2 linked regions of the Lytechinus pictus genome follow. The protein of the gene in region 2 binds, or shares a complex with, the protein of the main gene of each other region. Links are inferred from orthologs where the notes say so. Each region holds a gene or a part of one and is shown on either strand. Other genes may lie near its edges.

Region 1 (9,052 bases), on a different chromosome or scaffold from region 2:
AACTAGACCAACACACTTTCAAATTTATGGCTGTAATTCAACAAATACCCCAATTTGGCCAAAGTTCATTGACCCTAAATGACATTTGACCTTGATCATGTGACCTGAAACTTGCACAGGATGTTCAGTAATACTTGATTACTATTATGTCCAAGTTTCATGAATCAGATCCATAAACTTTCAAAGTTATGATGGTAATTCAACAGATACCCCCAATTCGGCCAAAGTTCATTGACCCTAAATGACCTTTGACCTTGGTCATGTGATGTGAAACTCAAGCAGGATGTTCATTGATACTTGATTAACCTTATGTATAAGTTTCATGAACTAGGTCTATATATTTTCTAAGTTATGATGACATTTCAAAAACTTAACCTTAGGTTAAGATTTTGATGTTGATTCCCCCAACATGGTCTAAGTTCATTGACCCTAAATGACCTTTGACCTTGGTCATGTGACATGAAACTCAGGCAGGATGTTCAGTAATACTTGATTAACCTTATGGCCAAGTTTCATGAACTAGGTCCATATACTTTCTAAGTTATGCTGTCATTTCAAAAACTTAACCTCAGGTTAAGATTTGGTGTTGACGCCGCCGCCGCCGTCGCCGCCGCCGCCGCCGTCGCCGTCGGAAAAGCGGCGCCTATAGTCTCACTCTGCTATGCAGGTGAGACAAAAACGAATGATAACTCGATCTGACTCTCTATATCACAAAAGAAAAAAACTGAAAACAAATGAATTAAATGATTAATGAATAAATATAAATACATTTATTTATCAATATAAATACATTTATTTATCAATATAAATATTGATTTGATTTGATTTATTGATTTCCGTTTCACAACATAAGCATGATAAATATAACAAAACAAGGTGGAAAATACTGCAAGACGTAATAAAATATATATAACATAATCTTAGATTTAAGGAGCACAATTCAATGAATAAAATTACCTAATATGACAATTGTATTTTAAAGTAAAAACGGAGGGTCTTGCCAAAAAAAAGCAAAGCTTGTACAAAAGGCAAGCCCCTAAATAAACTTAGTTTCATTACAAAAAAAAACACTGGGTCGTAATGATATATAGAACTTTAAAAATAAATACAAACAATTTTGGTGCATTTTACGAGAAAAAAAACTGATGTGAGAAATATTTTGTTTTATAGCATTAGGGAGAGAGGGGGAATGTGAGGGGGAGAAGAGGGGAGGGACAGAGAAATGCAGTGTACATAACATAGAAAGAAATCGGGCAACAGGAGCAGGTACTTTGGCTAGTTGCAATTTTAAGAAGAAAAAAGTAATAACAAATAATATACATGTATATACGAGTGTATACGAGCGCATATAATACACGATAGACACAAAAACCGAGTATAAATAAATCAGTTATTCAGCATGATCTGCTTGCAACGAGTATTGCAAAATTAACATTTTTTTCAGTTTGCGTTTAAAAATATTTATATTAGGGGATTCTTTAAAATCTTGAGGCAGAGAGTTCCAGTAGGCGGGCCCGGAAAAGACAAATGAATTCTTTGCAAATAAAGTTCTTGTTAATGGGAGATGATAATATTGTCGTTGCCTTGTTGGGTAATACATTTATACATTTTTACATTTATTAATCAATATATTTATCAATATCAACATTTATTTATCAATATAAATACATATTAATCAATCAAAATAATAGATTGATAAATAAATAAACGAAATTTCACACATGAAAATAATTAAAAACGAATGATACTCTGACTCTCTACCAGTCACAAAAGAAAAAAAACTGAAAACAAATAAATTAAATGATTAATGAATAACTATAAATAGATTTATTAATCAATATAAATACATTAATTAATCAATTAAAATAGATTGATAAATAAATTAAATGAGCTTCCACAAATAAAAAGAATTAAAAACGAATAACTCTGACTCTCTCTATAACAAAAAAAAGAAAGAAAACAAATGACTTAAATGATTAATGAATAAATATAAATACATTAATTAATAGATTGAGAAATAAATAAATGAAATTTTACACATAAAAATAATTAAAAACGAATGATACCTCTGACTCTCTACATCACAAAAGAAAAAAAAAATGAAAACAAATAAATCAAATGATTAATGAATAAATACAAATAAATCCACAAATAAATTTCTGAAGAAGTATTAAATCATTCTCTCCTTAATTGTTTATTTGGAAAATAAGGAGCCCCCCGCCCCTTACAGCGCCGCTCATGATATTCTTTCCTTGTATATTTGGAAAATAAATTGGAGGCTCCCCCTACAGCGCCGCCCATGATAATTCTCACCGGCCGGGGAAACAAGCCCCACGACCACGTTATTTTCCATTATATAACAGTGTAAGGGGCCTCGATAACGAGTATACTACTATAGTCGTCATCCGAGCCCCACACACGTGCGAATGCTGGGAAAAGCGCATTGGACGGGGCCAGTTTCGCGACTATCTTAGGATGCAAGCTTAATATATACTCGTGATATAGGCCCCGCTACTGTGTTGGAGTGTCTGAAGTGCCGTAGTGCGGGGCCTATATAACGGTTATAGTACTATACTCGTGAAACAGGCCCCGCAAACGGACATTCTAAGCCATTCAACACAGCAGCGGGGCCTATATCACGAGTATATATAGTGAGCTGAAGTTAGCAACCTAGATATTGAGGTAGTATAATCGATTACAAGTTTTTCTCGAGCGGGGCCTATATCACGATTTTGCCGAGAGTTTTACTTTTTAGAATGCATTTTTCGTAAATAACGTCTCGTGCACAAGCTACCACAGACTACGAGCCGGGCTGCAGCGGCAAATTTAAAATTGAATATTAATTTAAGGAGGTCGTTCGAAACTAGCTATTCATCGACCATTTTACGTGACAACTAGCTTCGGGGAAGTTAGGGGGCTGAATCGGTTATCTCTGTCCCTTTCTGGTCTCACAAAGGCCATAGTTTGACACTTAATATCTTCACTTTTTGGAAACCTTTGGAACTGGGAGTTGGTATGTTTGCTTTGATTTTGTTTTCTCTTTCATGTCATTGTAAATAAAAATGTGAAGACGTTCAAATAAAAATTTTAGGATTTCAATTTGACCGGCCTATAGTACTAGTAGCCTAAACTTCCCCGAAAAAATGTGCCATATTTTCCCCTAAATTAGCCTGTTTTGTGCTGACACATTTCAGTGTGGCTTCACTGCCTTCAGTCTTCACTCTTCACTTCAGACACCTTATCTCTATCTACTCTCTAGACTCGTCTCCATTTCAAAACACTGCATGCTCAACAAACATACACAGTCATACATAAGGATCTCTTTCATTTTGTGAAAAGATTTTTTAGATTAAAAATATCATGCAGAATAGCTTAACATGTCATGTTGAATCTTGGGCAGTTACTATTCAAATTGAGATCATGATTTATCATATCATCTAGCCTAAGGCTAAGCCAGGGCCTACCATTGCCTACGCAAAAGTGAACACGTCGGACTGTCGAATCCCACATGGGGGCACACAGTTGCGACCAGATGGCACGAAATTCATGATAATTACAACGATTATACAATCCGTATAAGTTTGAGACACCATCTTTGTACATAATACTCACTTCTTGTACTGACAAAAACTCTAACAACGGAAAAACAAGATGTCTATCCAAATATTGTCCGATTTTCGAAGTCAGGTCGAATTCCGCCATCTTGACAGATTCCTTCAATGGATGTGCGCGCGCAGCGCCGCGCCCGCGCGTTCAATCAAAGATCTCCGGCTCCGCCGGACATAGACGATACAAGCTGCGCGCTGGCTACTGGCGACTAATAGCGTGCGATTAAAAAGAAGGAAGAAAACGGCATAAATATTTACCTTCACAAGAACGAATAAAAAAGGGAAATATAATTTTTAAAGAGGATTTCAGCCCCGGCTTCAACCTGAGATTTTACTGACGGATGGTCTATTATCACTTGGTCTAATCATCAGATGGGCTAACAACATTCGGGCTAAACCCACTTAGTCCAATTCTCTTTTGGTCTAATGAGTGACCACTTGGTCTAATAGCCAATTGGTCTAATGACCACTTGGTCTAATAGCCACTTGGTCTAATTTTCATTTGGTCTAATGTATTTTATTGTCACTTGGTCTAATTGCATTTGGTCTAATACCAGTTCGTCTAATAGTCGGTTAGTCTAATACTAGTTGGTCTAATACCAGTTGGTCTAATCCTCACTTGGTCCATTATTCATTTGGTCTAATGTGCAGTTGGTCTAATGTTTAGTTGGTCTAATTTCCATTTCGGCTAATTTCCACTTGGTCTAATTTCCACTTCGGCTAATTTCCACTTGGTCTAATTTCCAGATAGTCTAACATTCATTTCGTCTACATGCCATTTGGTCTAATTCGTAAAGTCTGCATGGTGACTTGTTTTCAATTTTCTGGTGAAATTTTTAAAGTTACTTTCCGCGCGCCGGCTTCGAATCTTCACATGTGCGCCCCTCGATATTGGAGTACAGTTAGAGTGACGTATATTTCGTCTCCAACTGAATTTTGAAAATATGGGGATTTTCGAAAGCCTGTGGGGATGAAAAAAATTATTTGGGGATTATACAAACTTTGGGGATTTTTTGTCTGTTTCAGGGGATTTTTGAAGGTTTTGGTGAAAAACAATCAAATTTGCTATTTTTCTGTAAAATAACGCTAATATAGAGGTGAAAAAATATTATTTTTATTTATTCACCTCTATGTATACGATCTACTGTAGATAGAAACGATGGCTTAACCCAATCATGGTTCCCAACTTTTCAAGAAAACAAAAATCCCTGATATCTCTGATGAAGTTAAAAAATTCCTTGATAATTATTTAAACCCATTCCCAGTTTCACATGTTTTCGAAGTTGTTGCAGTGAATTACATGTATTATTTTTATTTTAGTTATGCATGTATAATGTACCAGTAGGCCTATACTTGTATTGTAGTAGAAGAGGCTACACTAAAAAAAAAACCAACACCATATCATGTCATTCAATGAATGTTGTTTTAAAATACAACAAAATATAACAGACTGTCATGCTTTCGACTTTTGGGCCGATCAAAATTCCCTGATTTTGCCCTCATTTGAGACATTTTTCCCGGATTTGAGGCAATCCCTGACTGGAAAAACGTTTTAAAAATCCCTGATTTCCCTAATGGGGTGGGAACCTTGCCAATCCATTTAAGGAAGAGGCGAAGAAGTAGAACAAAAAACAGAATGAGAAGATATATAAGATGAATGACTGTTGTGGTGATAACTGATAAAGGTCTGCAAGCGTAGACTACATGTATACTATGTTATTACACGTCAGAATTATGTGGCTGCTACCAAGATGGTCGCAGTTATGTTGTCGCAGCTAACCCAATATACCTGTATAGTGTTATCAAACTATATCTAACTTGTCTGTTATTTGCCTCCAAACTAAATATTGAAATAACTAAACAAATGTTCATAACAAAATTACATGATCTAATGACTTTGTAAGTTTTGGTTCCCCCAAACTGCATAACTAGGACATCAAGTTCAAGTATCGTCCGTAATGGTGCATAACAATGATTTAAAAGAGGCATATATATGTTTACCAGATACGTATCCACACAATCAATTACATTATATTTTCGTTCCTTTCTTCATAATAATTTTATTCTGATGAAACCCCGCCATTCGACCATTATAAGCTACAAGGTCCCCAACTTATTGTTCTGTAAATGTGCATGCGGTGATGTAATGATTATGAGTATGATATAATTTTTATCATCATCTTATAATCGATATACAGGCCTAATTATGAGAATTATTTTATTAGAATAATTAGTTTGATGAGCGACTATCTTGTCATCGATAGTCCTTCACGGTGAGGTTTTGCGCCCACCAGCTCTACCCCTCCAGATCCTGGCGATATGTATTAACTGATGCATTGTATTTATCCATTACGTACCATATTTGCTAATTCTAGATAAATAAATAATAATGAATGATGCTATATTAGAATAAATAGACATTAGACCAAGTGTGAATTAGACCAAATGAAAATTAGACCAAGTGACGATTAGCCGAACTGGTCATTAGACCAAGTGGTCTTTAGACCATTTGGCTATTAGACCAAGTGGTCATTAGACCAATTGGATATTAGACCAAGTGGAAATTAGACTAAATGGAAATTAGACCAAGTGGAAATTAGACCAAACGGTCATTAGACCATGTGGCAATTAGACAAAATGATAATTAGACCAAGTGGAAATTAGCCAAAGTGGAAATTAGACCAAGTGGTGTTAGACTAACTGGAAATTAGACTAAATGATTTTAGCCCAACTGCTCATTAGACCAATTGGATATTAGACCAAGTGGGAATTAGAGGAATTGGATATTAGACCAAGTGGAAATTAGCCCAACTGGTTATTAGCCAAAATGGAAATTAGACGAATAGGATATTAGACCAAGTGGGAATTAGACGAATTGGATATTAGACAAACTGGTTGTAGACGAAATGAGTTTAGACTATGTGAAGTTGGACGAACTGATAAGTAGATGATGTGGTATTAGACCATCCGATAATTCACCGATAAATTTGGTTTGGTTAATTAATTAAATATAGAGTTTTTTCTAATGGATTATATTTATCATTAGTCAGCACACCCACTTGTGAACTTTGAGACAAATTAAGCGCCCTATAAAGCGCCCTAAATGTTATTATGATTTATTATTATCATTATTATTATTTTTATTATTATTATTGTTTATTATCATCATTATTATTATTATTAACTAATAGTTATTATTGTAAATAAAAATATCTTTTAATTTGATAATTTTATTTATTATGCAAGCTCCATACGGGGATCATTCGCCAATGGGGGGGAATTACTTTCACCAACTTCCTAATATACTCAGTATAAATGAATGATACGTACATGTATATGTGCCGTGGTTGAGACCCCCAGCCTAAATTTCCGGTCCAGAGCATCAGCAATTCAGAAAACCATAGAAATTCCCATTTTCCCGTCGCGGAGACCCTCGCATTGATACGAGTGGAAACATTTTTCAATAGACGTTAATACGGAATATTCTTTGTTGTTTTTTTGTAATCATAACTGTGATTGGTATCTAACTATACCTGAACAATGAATACGAGCGCGAAGCGCGAGCTGAAAATCATTGATCTTTTGACCTGAAAAAGGAACATTTATCATACTAAATTATTACAGGGAATCACTGATGCAGGGATCTCATTAAATAAATCGATCTAATACGAGGGCGAAGCGCGAACCTGTTTTTTTATTCAACATTAAGATCTTAAGACTGAATATTAATTCTAAAAAATTAATGCGAGCTCGAAGCGCGAGCCGAAAATCATTCAGACCTGAAATCGGGACATTTTAGGGAGAAGTAAGTCCCACGATGCGGATCTATAACTAAGCAATCAATGCAGGCACGAGCAATGAGCTGATACTTACTTGAAAGGGTACAATTTTAAAGAGTATTTTATGAATTCATTAACTTCCTATACGTATCTCATCGGCGTAATGCGTGCGCGAAGCGCGAGCTGATTTTGTTGGTATATCCTCTCCTAAAAAGAGACGATTGTTTGTAAAAATTAATGAAGAGAGTTTTGTATCTATACCTTATCAAATAAAATCGTGATTATAAGTCTTTGTTGATTAAACAAGAAAAAAATAGGATTTTTAGAACTGTTTGTAAGAATTAATAAAGAGTAGCATAATTATCAAAACCCGCGTAGCTATATAGATGAAAAAGCATGCATATGGTATGCGTTTGAAAAAATAAATATTTTAAGGACTGTTTGTTGGAATTCTTGGAAAGAATAAGTATATCACTAATCGAAAATTGGCACGGATACGGTCCACATGGGTTCGAAACTGCATTACCATTGTAATAGGACGGGCGTATATATCACCTTAATCAGTGGTCTTCCTTTTCGGCGACTTTATTCCGTACAGGACAAGTCCATGCACCCCAACAAAAAGTTGATTTGAATAAAAAGAGAAAAATCCAAAAAGCATAACACTGAACATTTCATCAAAATCGGATGTAAAATAAGAAAGTTATGACATTTTTAAGTTTCACTTAATTTCACAAAACAGTTATATATGCACATCCTCTGGTTCGTATGCATGTCATCGTATGCAAATGAGGGAACTCAGTGATGACATCACTCACTCGCTATTTCTTTTGTATTTTGTTATATGAAATATAAAATATTCTAATTTTCTCCTCATTGTCCGGTGAAACAGAATTTTATTTCTCCATGAACATGTGGAATTACCATTGTTTAAAATTTTATGGTTCAGTCATGCAAGTTGGTCCTTATTGTCAAATCTGTAAAAATTGAAATATTGCACTATTCAAACAATAAAAAACAAAAGAAATAGTGAGTGACGGACATCATCGATTTTCTCATTTGCAATATGTGACTTAATTGTGCATAGATCTATTTTGTGAAAAATAAGCGAAACTTTAAAATGTCATAACTTTTTTATTTTACATCCGATTTTGATGAAGTTTTCAGCAATATGCATTTCTGATTTTTCTCTATTGATTCAAATCAACATTTTCCTGAGCTGGACTTAACCTTTAACTTTTACTTTTCTCTATACAAAAAAAGTTGACAATTTCTGTTCATTTTTTGTTTTCTTTTTCTGTATTTGCGCCCCTTACCCAACAAAAAGTTGATTTGAATGAAAGATTTAATAAACAAGTGTTATGTAGAACACTGAAAATCGAATGTAGGATAAGAAGGTTATATTTCTAAATGTCGCTTATTTTTTTGTACAAAAACAGTTATATGCACAACAAAGGGATACTGGCAAATGAGCAAGTTGGTGATGTCATTCATTCACGATTCTTTTTGCATTTGATACAATAATACATTTTTCAGCAGATTTAATGAGAGGGAATTTTTCATGAAATCAACAAGGCAATTTCATATATTCAAGAAGAAAATAATAAAAAACACGATCAGGAGAAAATTGAAATTTTTCATACTGCATATGAATAACGCCAACAG
Region 2 (8,882 bases):
ATTCAAAACAGCTTTTAACGGTCTGGCGTCATGACGTGCAATTCAAAACAGCTTTTAACGGTCTGGCGTCATGACATGCAATTCAAAACAGCTTTTAACTGTCTGGCGTCATGACGTGCAATTCAAAACAGCTTTTAACGGTCTGGCGTCATGACGTGCAATTCAAAACAGCTTTCAACGGTCTGGCGTCATGACGTGCAATTCAAAACAGCTTTTAACGGTCTGGCGTCATGACATGCAATTCAAAACAGCTTTTAACGGTCTGGCGTCATGACGTGCAATTCAAAACAGCTTTTAACGGTCTGGCGTCATGACGTGCAATTCAAAACAGCTTTTAACGGTCTGGCGTCATGACATGCAATTCAAAACAGCTTTTAACGGTCTGGCGTCATGACGTGCAATTCAAAACAGCTTTTAACGGTCTGGCGTCATGACGTGCAATTCAAAACAGCTTTTAACGGTCTGGCGTCATGACATGCAATTCAAAACAGCTTTTAACGGTCTGGCGTCATGACGTGCAATTCAAAACAGCTTTTAACGGTCTGGCGTCATGACGTGCAATTCAAAACAGCTTTTAACGGTCTGGCGTCATGACGTGCAATTCAAAACAGCTTTTAACGGTCTGGCGTCATGACGTGCAATTCAAAACAGCTTTTAACGGTCTGGCGTCATGACATGCAATTCAAAACAGCTTTGAACGGTCTGGCGTCATGACGTGCAATTCAAAACAGCTTTTAACGGTCTGGCGTCATGACGTGCAATTCAAAACAGCTTTTAACGGTCTGGCGTCATGACGTGCAATTCAAAACAGCTTTTAACGGTCTGGCGTCATGACGTGCAATTCAAAACAGCTTTTAACGGTCTGGCGTCATGACGTGCAATTCAAAACAGCTTTTAACGGTCTGGCGTCATGACATGCAATTCAAAACAGCTTTGAACGGTCTGGCGTCATGACGTGCAATTCAAAACAGCTTTTAACGGTCTGGCGTCATGACGTGCAATTCAAAACAGCTTTTAACGGTCTGGCGTCATGACGTGCAATTCAAAACAGCTTTTAACGGTCTGGCGTCATGACGTGCAATTCAAAACAGCTTTTAACGGTCTGGCGTCATGACGTGCAATTCAAAACAGCTTTTAACGGTCTGGCGTCATGACGTGCAATTCAAAACAGCTTTTAACGGTCTGGCGTCATGACGTGCAATTCAAAACAGCTTTTAACGGTCTGGCGTCATGACGTGCAATTCAAAACAGCTTTTAACGGTCTGGCGTCATGACGTGCAATTCAAAACAGCTTTTAACGGTCTGGCGTCATGACGTGCAATTCAAAACAGCTTTTAACGGTCTGGCGTCATGACGTGCAATTCAAAACAGCTTTGAACGGTCTGGCGTCATGACGTGCAATTCAAAACAGCTTTTAACGGTCTGGCGTCATGACGTGCAATTCAAAACAGCTTTGAACGGTCTGGCGTCATGACGTGCAATTCAAAACAGCTTTTAACGGTCTGGCGTCATGACGTGCAATTCAAAACAGCTTTTAACGGTCTGGCGTCATGACGTGCAATTCAAAACAGCTTTTAACGGTCTGGCGTCATGACGTGCAATTCAAAACAGCTTTTAACGGTCTGGCGTCATGACGTGCAATTCAAAACAGCTTTTAACGGTCTGGCGTCATGACGTGCAATTCAAAACAGCTTTTAACGGTCTGGCGTCATGACGTGCAATTCAAAACAGCTTTTAACGGTCTGGCGTCATGACGTGCAATTCAAAACAGCTTTTAACGGTCTGGCGTCATGACGTGCAATTCAAAACAGCTTTTAACGGTCTGGCGTCATGACGTGCAATTCAAAACAGCTTTTAACGGTCTGGCGTCATGACGTGCAATTCAAAACAGCTTTTAACGGTCTGGCGTCATGACGTGCAATTCAAAACAGCTTTGAACGGTCTGGAGTCATGACGTGCAATTCAAAACAGCTTTTAACGGTCTGGCGTCATGACGTGCAATTCAAAACAGCTTTTAACGGTCTGGCGTCATGACGTGCAATTCAAAACAGCTTTTAACGGTCTGGCGTCATGACGTGCAATTCAAAACAGCTTTTAACGGTCTGGCGTCATGACGTGCAATTCAAAACAGCTTTTAACGGTCTGGCGTCATGACGTGCAATTCAAAACAGCTTTTAACGGTCTGGAGTCGGTTTCATTGGTGTGACTGTAGCATTCCACATTTTTGGAATCATGGTGCCATCTCTGACCCTGATCCTGGACCTACCATCCTGGGCCACGTCCTGGTAGAGCTTCTCCAGTCTGTTGTTGTTCCTCAGCAGGTCCAAGCACTGTCTGTAAGACTCCCAGAGAAACTTGACCCATGGTATCAACACCACACGGTCACTCCTGGCCTGGGCATCCTCTCCACTTACAGCACTTAGGAGAAGACTGCAGGAAGACAAAAACAGTGGGAGAACAAGTCAATAATAGGACCCACTGGTGGGATGCCTATAACATCAGTTGACACTTACTAATGGAGCATTGCAAGGATCTTACATTCAACTGCAAATCGAGCGTTAGTCCCAAAATCAAGTCAAATCGGGCATGCTTATCATATAAAGTTGGAATTAAATGCAAATGAACTACACCTTTGTGTTTAATCAAAGGAAGTGATTCTGATCTCGAGACTTATGCTTTATTTGGAATTGAATAAATTATTTATGCTATGGGTCAACTGTCAAATCCTGAACTTCAACAGTTAAACTTTTCCCAACACTGAAGGTAAGAAACAACAATTCTTTAAAAATTCTCTTCTTACCTTTCTGGGGTGGTAAGATTATCAAGATCGTCAACATCGACCCCAACAACAGCCTCAGAAGCCTTCCTAGCCTCCTCCGTCTTGACTTCAGCAAGCTTCAAGTATTTCCTCACGACATCTTCCAAAGACTTGACATTCACCTAACAGCAAGAACATAACAAGGAGTTAAAATCAACAGAGCATTTCACAAGAGGACTTGTCATATATTTTATCCAATAAGTCCTGTTTTAAATGACAAAAACCATAGTAACAGTGCTTCTCAGCTAATCAAATTCAAGGAAAGACGTCAGATCTGACAACTTATTGGACAACAAGGGTTGATGAAATGCTCCCTCACCTATGAAATTTCTTGATTACACATGAAAAAAAAAAAGGAAATATCTAAGAAAGAAACAATTTCTTATCATTCACTTCAGCTTGAGCAATTGGTGTCAGATTAGTTCACAAATTTGCCACATAATGTGAACAAAAGTTAATAAACAATAGCTGATCAGTGTTTTTCTTATTTCTACAATGTACTAGCAGTACCCAAAATCAAAACTTGAATATTTATTTACGAACTTTAGATTGGTGTTTTGACGTTCTATTATCAAAGAAAAATCAGTGAAAATGGTGTCAAGAGCGGTGGCACAACATTTGGTCTGGCGACAATTGTTCCAGGCTTAATTTCATCTAAGATGTAGGGTTAGGGTTACAATAGGGTTTTATGTGAGGTTTAGGGTAGGGCACATGTATAGTGTTAAACCAAGGGTTGAAGTTGGTCATTTGATTAGTGCGTGGAATTTAGAGCAGAGCAAATGTCATGGAACCGTCAAGAACATCTACAACACATTCAGGAGCCCCCAAAGCATTTCTGCCACAAAAGTATGCCTACCTGTTGACAAATGATCTTGTACTGGTAGAGGCCCTCTTTGGCAATGTGGCTCTTACGTAGGTCAACGCAGAGCTCCAGATACTTCTCCATGATTGGTTCGTGTATCTTCTGCCATGTTCGATGTCGCTTACTCTTGATGACATCATAGAGGGCATCCAAGGCTGGCTGCTTCTTGCCGACATCAATGAACTCTGAGTTGACAAACAGAATCAGTACTCATCTTTATCAGTACAAAGATTATTTCTTTGTTAGATAAATGAAAGCATTATCATTCATTATGAAGCAACCAAAGTAGTTACACAAATTATGTCCCAGCCAAAGTGGAAAGTTGATTTGATGGGGAATTTTAAAATAAAAGGGTGAAAGTTGAAAACAGTAAGAAAGTTATGAATCTTTTTAAGTTGTAAAAAGCAGAGCTGACTTTGTATCTGCCACTTTAAAAAATGTAATTATGGTAGGTTATTTGACACCTGCATTTTCTTCAATACATAAAGTGACGTAAATGTCACTTTTTCAAAAAGACACTCAAAAAAATTATTTCATAAAGGCATGTAATAGTATTCTTCAGACATACATATTATTTTTTCAGGGACTCAATTTTAAGGCGCGCGAGAGCGATCGTGCGCTACATGCGCGCCTTAATCCATTTTAGGTAGCGCGATTAATAGCGCGCCTCGCGATCGCTAAGCGAAAATGCCTGAAGTCGCCCTCAAAATCACCTAAAATCATGCTTTCGGGGACATCAAATCTGAATGTCGCCCCCGAAATTATTGCCGAGTGATAACAACTAAACGGCCCACTAGCGCCATATGCTCGAGCTCCGCTTACCATTTAAAAATCATCCAAAATCCACACTCAAAATCATGAATAAGCCTTGAAAATAGCGAGCGCAGTTTCAATTCGACATAAATTGTTTTCTTTGTTCTCTTATGTTATTTTTTCTATATGTTCATCATTGTTTTTTACTTATATGTATTGACTTTTATACAGTGTATTTGTTTTTATGAAGAATGAAAAAAATAAAAAATAAATAAAAAAATTCTGAAGTTGCGTCTTTTTTTCTGTACCATGTATTTCCATACACATGGAACCAGGTATGACCAAAAAAATCTACGCAACGGTCGGGAAACAGTTGCCTGTATATGGGTCCATTATGACTACCACCATGTGCAATTTCGAATGCACATGTTTCCCCTACAGATAATTCTGTGATAAAATAATTCGAATTACACAGGAAATAAATCCCAGAGTCTAGTAACCTAGCATTGGTGAGTTGTCATTCGGCTTTGCTTTTCAAAACGGCCTATTAACATCCAAAATAAGTTACCTTATTTATTAATTATAACTAAAAAATCATTTGTTTTCTTTTTCTAGGGGATGAGGTAAATATCAGACAATAAATCATCAAACAAAGCTCTATCTATTTTTAACAAGGCCGGCGGCAGGCTCACGCACGAACGCATTGGTGCATGTACTACTACACTAGCCAGTCGGAGCTCTGTCTCTCTGCCAGAGCTCTGGGGTACAATTCGCTCAGTAAAGGCCTCAATGATGGTGATTTTCTGTTTCAGACAGAGTTTACATTTCAGGTACATTATTCAAAACTGCCAATAAAGTTTGATTTCTTAATTGTCATGTATATTTAAGATCTTAATGAATACATTCTCACCAAATTTAGACTCCCCCATAGAGAAATGCAATTTTCATGGAGATCTGCATTTTCAAAGAACTTCAGGAAAAGTTAGGGTATGTGGGCCTCTATATTACATGTACATGGCCGAGTACAGGGTATTGTACTGGAATAGACGGAGTAGAAATTAAATATTGAATTCATTTATATCCAAGTCCAACTCACAGTCACACACACACGCACACATCCACATCCAAGATTCTAAGCATCATGAAAAAATAACTTAAAAAATCATACAATATTAAACAAAAAGTAATAATTCATTAATAAGTGAACAGGTATTCCTCAAAATACAAAAAAGTTGCATTTAAAAAGAGCCCCCGAAATGCAAAAAGTAGCCCCCGAAATTTGACGAAAAATTTGTCAGTGACTTAACTTTTAGCCATAGTCAAAAGTCACTCAAAACCTCACTCAAACAGGTTTTATAACACACAATCTAATTACAAAACATTGTAAAACAATTATGAATATTGCATATTCGATTGTTTCCTTCCTTTGGTTGTTAATTGTAACTTAGTACATAGGCCTATATTTCCTCCATCCGTTTTGTTAATTGGACAAAAAGCTCCCCTTGTATGTTGAAGAAGAGCTTTTTGCAGTGCTCCTCTACCGCTCTCCTTAAAAGTTCTACAGGGAGAGCTTTTTATTGCTCCCCTCATAATTATGTCGGAAAGTGGAATTTTCATTTGGTTGCTTGAGAAGAATGTTCCTAATTTGCATATTATTTTCGTACAGGTGTTTGGAATTCTCTTGATCGGCCGGATCACTGGATAGGGTTAGGATGATCGATGTATGTACGCTCCAAAAATATAATTCTAGTTATTTTCTAATCCTTGTTATGTATTTTAAGGGTTTTAAGGATTTGTTTTCTCGTAATATTGAGTGAAAACAATATATATACTTGTATCTTTTTCATATTGGCTGTTTCAAAGTTTAACAAATCCTTAGCAGAATGATATTTTTTTGGGTGGTTCCGCGACTCCACTGCTTGTTGGCATTTTACGTTAGGTAGATTATTGCACGTCCTGGTTCTGGTGCAGGTCGGACTGCAATCGAAGCAGGCCTGGGAAAGGGCTGATCTGGTCCGACTCATTTGATCCTCCTCGAGTCTTGAGATTTCGAATAATGGTAGAAGCTGCTACTCCTTTGTGGTATCCTGGGTGATGTAGGTGGTGTGTAACCACCAGTAGCCTCTGATTTTGGGGTTGTTGTTTTGTTACTCCTTTCATTTTGTTGGTTTTGGCAAACCTCAATAAAGTCAAAGAAGCTCAGATCTGGTGTCCCGTAGCATCTGTAAAGTTTGCTCCGTTACGGTCTTAATTGGCTAACTCAACCCACCCCCCGACAAAATGGCGACGAGGATGGGATCATCAGATCATGGCTGTGTTCCGATGTCAGCGATCAACCCCAAAGTCAGCGATTGAGGTCTATCGTCCAGAGGTCAGCGACCAACTAGGATGATGGCAGTGAAGTTCTACACATCCAAGAGACTTTAACGTTCTTACTTCGGAGAGGGAATGGTCAACACATGAACATTTGGTAATGAGTTAAAGGTGGTTTAGGTAATCTCAGATAACTATGAGTAGAGTTAATTTTTGATTGTTCATTGATTTACACCACTTTATACATGTGCATAGACCTTCTCTCCCCTTTGTAGAATTATATAGCCCTTGTAACGATGTCACAGTCTGTAGAGGAAATGGTGTCAGTCCTTACCCGGGCACTGCAAGGCTTGAATATTCAACGTGCTCCCCCACCAGTGAAATTGTCTAAATTTAAGGGTCCACCTAAAGTCGCTGGAGACTTATCTCTGGAAGAGTGGCTTGAAGAGTTTTCCAGTTATACTACTCACTATCAGTTGTCTGGAGAGGCAAAAGCACAGTCGCTTGTCGATCATTTGGCTGGAGTTGCCAAAGAAGAGGTTCTATGCCGAGATGAGGATGTGCGAAAGGATAGTGATCAAATTATCAACGTTTTACAGTCACTCTTTGCAGCGTCAGAGTCGGTACCTTCACTAAGTCAATCCTTCTACAATAGACGACAACAAGAGGGCGAGAGTTTGGCCGACTACAGCCGGGCCTTGATGAGGTTGTACGATCGCATGGAGAAAGCTGCTTCCAGTACAGAAGATAAGAATGCTTTGAAGAGGCTCAAAGATAGCTCGCTGAAAGAACGTTTCGTTTGTGGAGCTAAAGAGAAGTGGGTACAACGAGAGTTAAGACGAATTGAAATGTCTTCAAAGAGTAAGAACTTTCTTGAGATGAGATCTGAAGTGCTTGAATTTTTCTCTGGTCAAGAACCAAGAAGTTCACCACGAGTTCATGAAGTGTATGCTGAGCGTGCTGACATGTGTTCTAGTTTTCCCAAGCAAGAGAAAGAACAGGAACAGTCGGATGTCAAAGCTGAATTGGCAGATCTAAGAAGAGAAGTAGCTCAGATTGCCAAGAGTGTTCAGGCTCTTACTCAGTATACTCAAACTCCTAAGAAGATCAAGAAGAAACTCAAGTGTTACAACTGTCTTAGAGAAGGACACACAAAGAAAGACTGTACAGAAGAAGTGGTCTGTTTTAACTGTCATCAGACTGGTCACATGGGTAGAGAGTGTCCGAAGAAGAGCACAGTTAGCAATCATCCTACGTCTGAAACTAGTGCCAGTCCTACATCGCATTATGTACCAACTGCCAATTTAGGGACTGTGGGACCAGCAGAGTCTAAAGAGAAAGCTAAATCAAACCTTGTTGAGAGATTTGTTGCTAAAAGTCCATGCTGTAACATTCTCATTGGAGGAGTAGAGATTGGCTGTGTAGTTGATACAGGAGCCGAAGCATCTATCATACCTTTGTCCTTGTATGAGAGCAAGCTGAAGTGTCGTATTGGAGAGCTTCAGAAGAGCGAAGGAATCTTTCTGCACGTGATTGGAGTTGGAGGGGTAGAGTTGCCTATTGTTGGTTATGTTGGGTTACCAATCAAGGTAAAAGGAGAAGAATTGATGGGTAATTTTCTGGTAGTGTCAGATCGAGCACCTACTGTGGAACATATGAGGTACCCAATCCTTCTTGGCTCCAACATATTGCAACACATAGCAGAATACAAGCCACTGTATGATAAGTTGAAGAAAGAATCCCGTAACCAAGAGCAAGAAACTGATGTTCACATTGGTTCTGTTCGAATTTATACCGTAATTGAAGACACCCTACCTCCAGGCGTAGAGATAAAAGGCCTAGACCCAGTTGAAGAGGCAGCTGTAGCTAGCTTACTGCATAAGCACAAGAATGTATTCTCTAAGGGAACATATGATGTAGGTGTATGTGACCTCATTCCACATGAGATCCGATTGACTGAAGGTCCAGATATTAGGTTACCATACAGGAGAATTCACCCTTTGCAAGTAAAAGAAGTGAAAGAGATGCTACAAGAGATGGTAGACCAGAAGATTATACGTCATTCAAAGAGTAGCTTTGCCAGCCCTATCGTATTGGTTAGAAAGAAGGATGGTAGTTTGAGGCTATGCATAGATT

Evidence for each region.
Region 1: eukaryotic translation initiation factor 3 subunit A-like (region 2) and eukaryotic translation initiation factor 3 subunit E-like share a complex: the UniProt entries of both Drosophila melanogaster proteins name them as parts of the eukaryotic translation initiation factor 3 (eIF-3) complex. The link is inferred for Lytechinus pictus from reciprocal best matches to the Drosophila melanogaster genes eIF3a and eIF3e.

What each region holds. Positions count from the first base shown.
Region 1 is NC_087261.1:10,572,854-10,581,905, reverse strand, and holds the start of eukaryotic translation initiation factor 3 subunit E-like, read right to left. Parts: upstream 3,726-9,052; 5' UTR 3,703-3,725; coding exon 3,613-3,702; intron 1-3,612. UniProt on the Drosophila melanogaster protein: Component of the eukaryotic translation initiation factor 3 (eIF-3) complex, which is involved in protein synthesis of a specialized repertoire of mRNAs and, together with other initiation factors, stimulates binding of mRNA and methionyl-tRNAi to the 40S ribosome.
Region 2 is NC_087256.1:10,922,975-10,931,856, forward strand, and holds the start of eukaryotic translation initiation factor 3 subunit A-like, read right to left. Parts: upstream 3,867-8,882; 5' UTR 3,765-3,866; coding exon 3,675-3,764; intron 2,941-3,674; coding exon 2,801-2,940; intron 2,431-2,800; coding exon 2,267-2,430; intron 1-2,266. UniProt on the Drosophila melanogaster protein: RNA-binding component of the eukaryotic translation initiation factor 3 (eIF-3) complex, which is involved in protein synthesis of a specialized repertoire of mRNAs and, together with other initiation factors, stimulates binding of mRNA and methionyl-tRNAi to the 40S ribosome.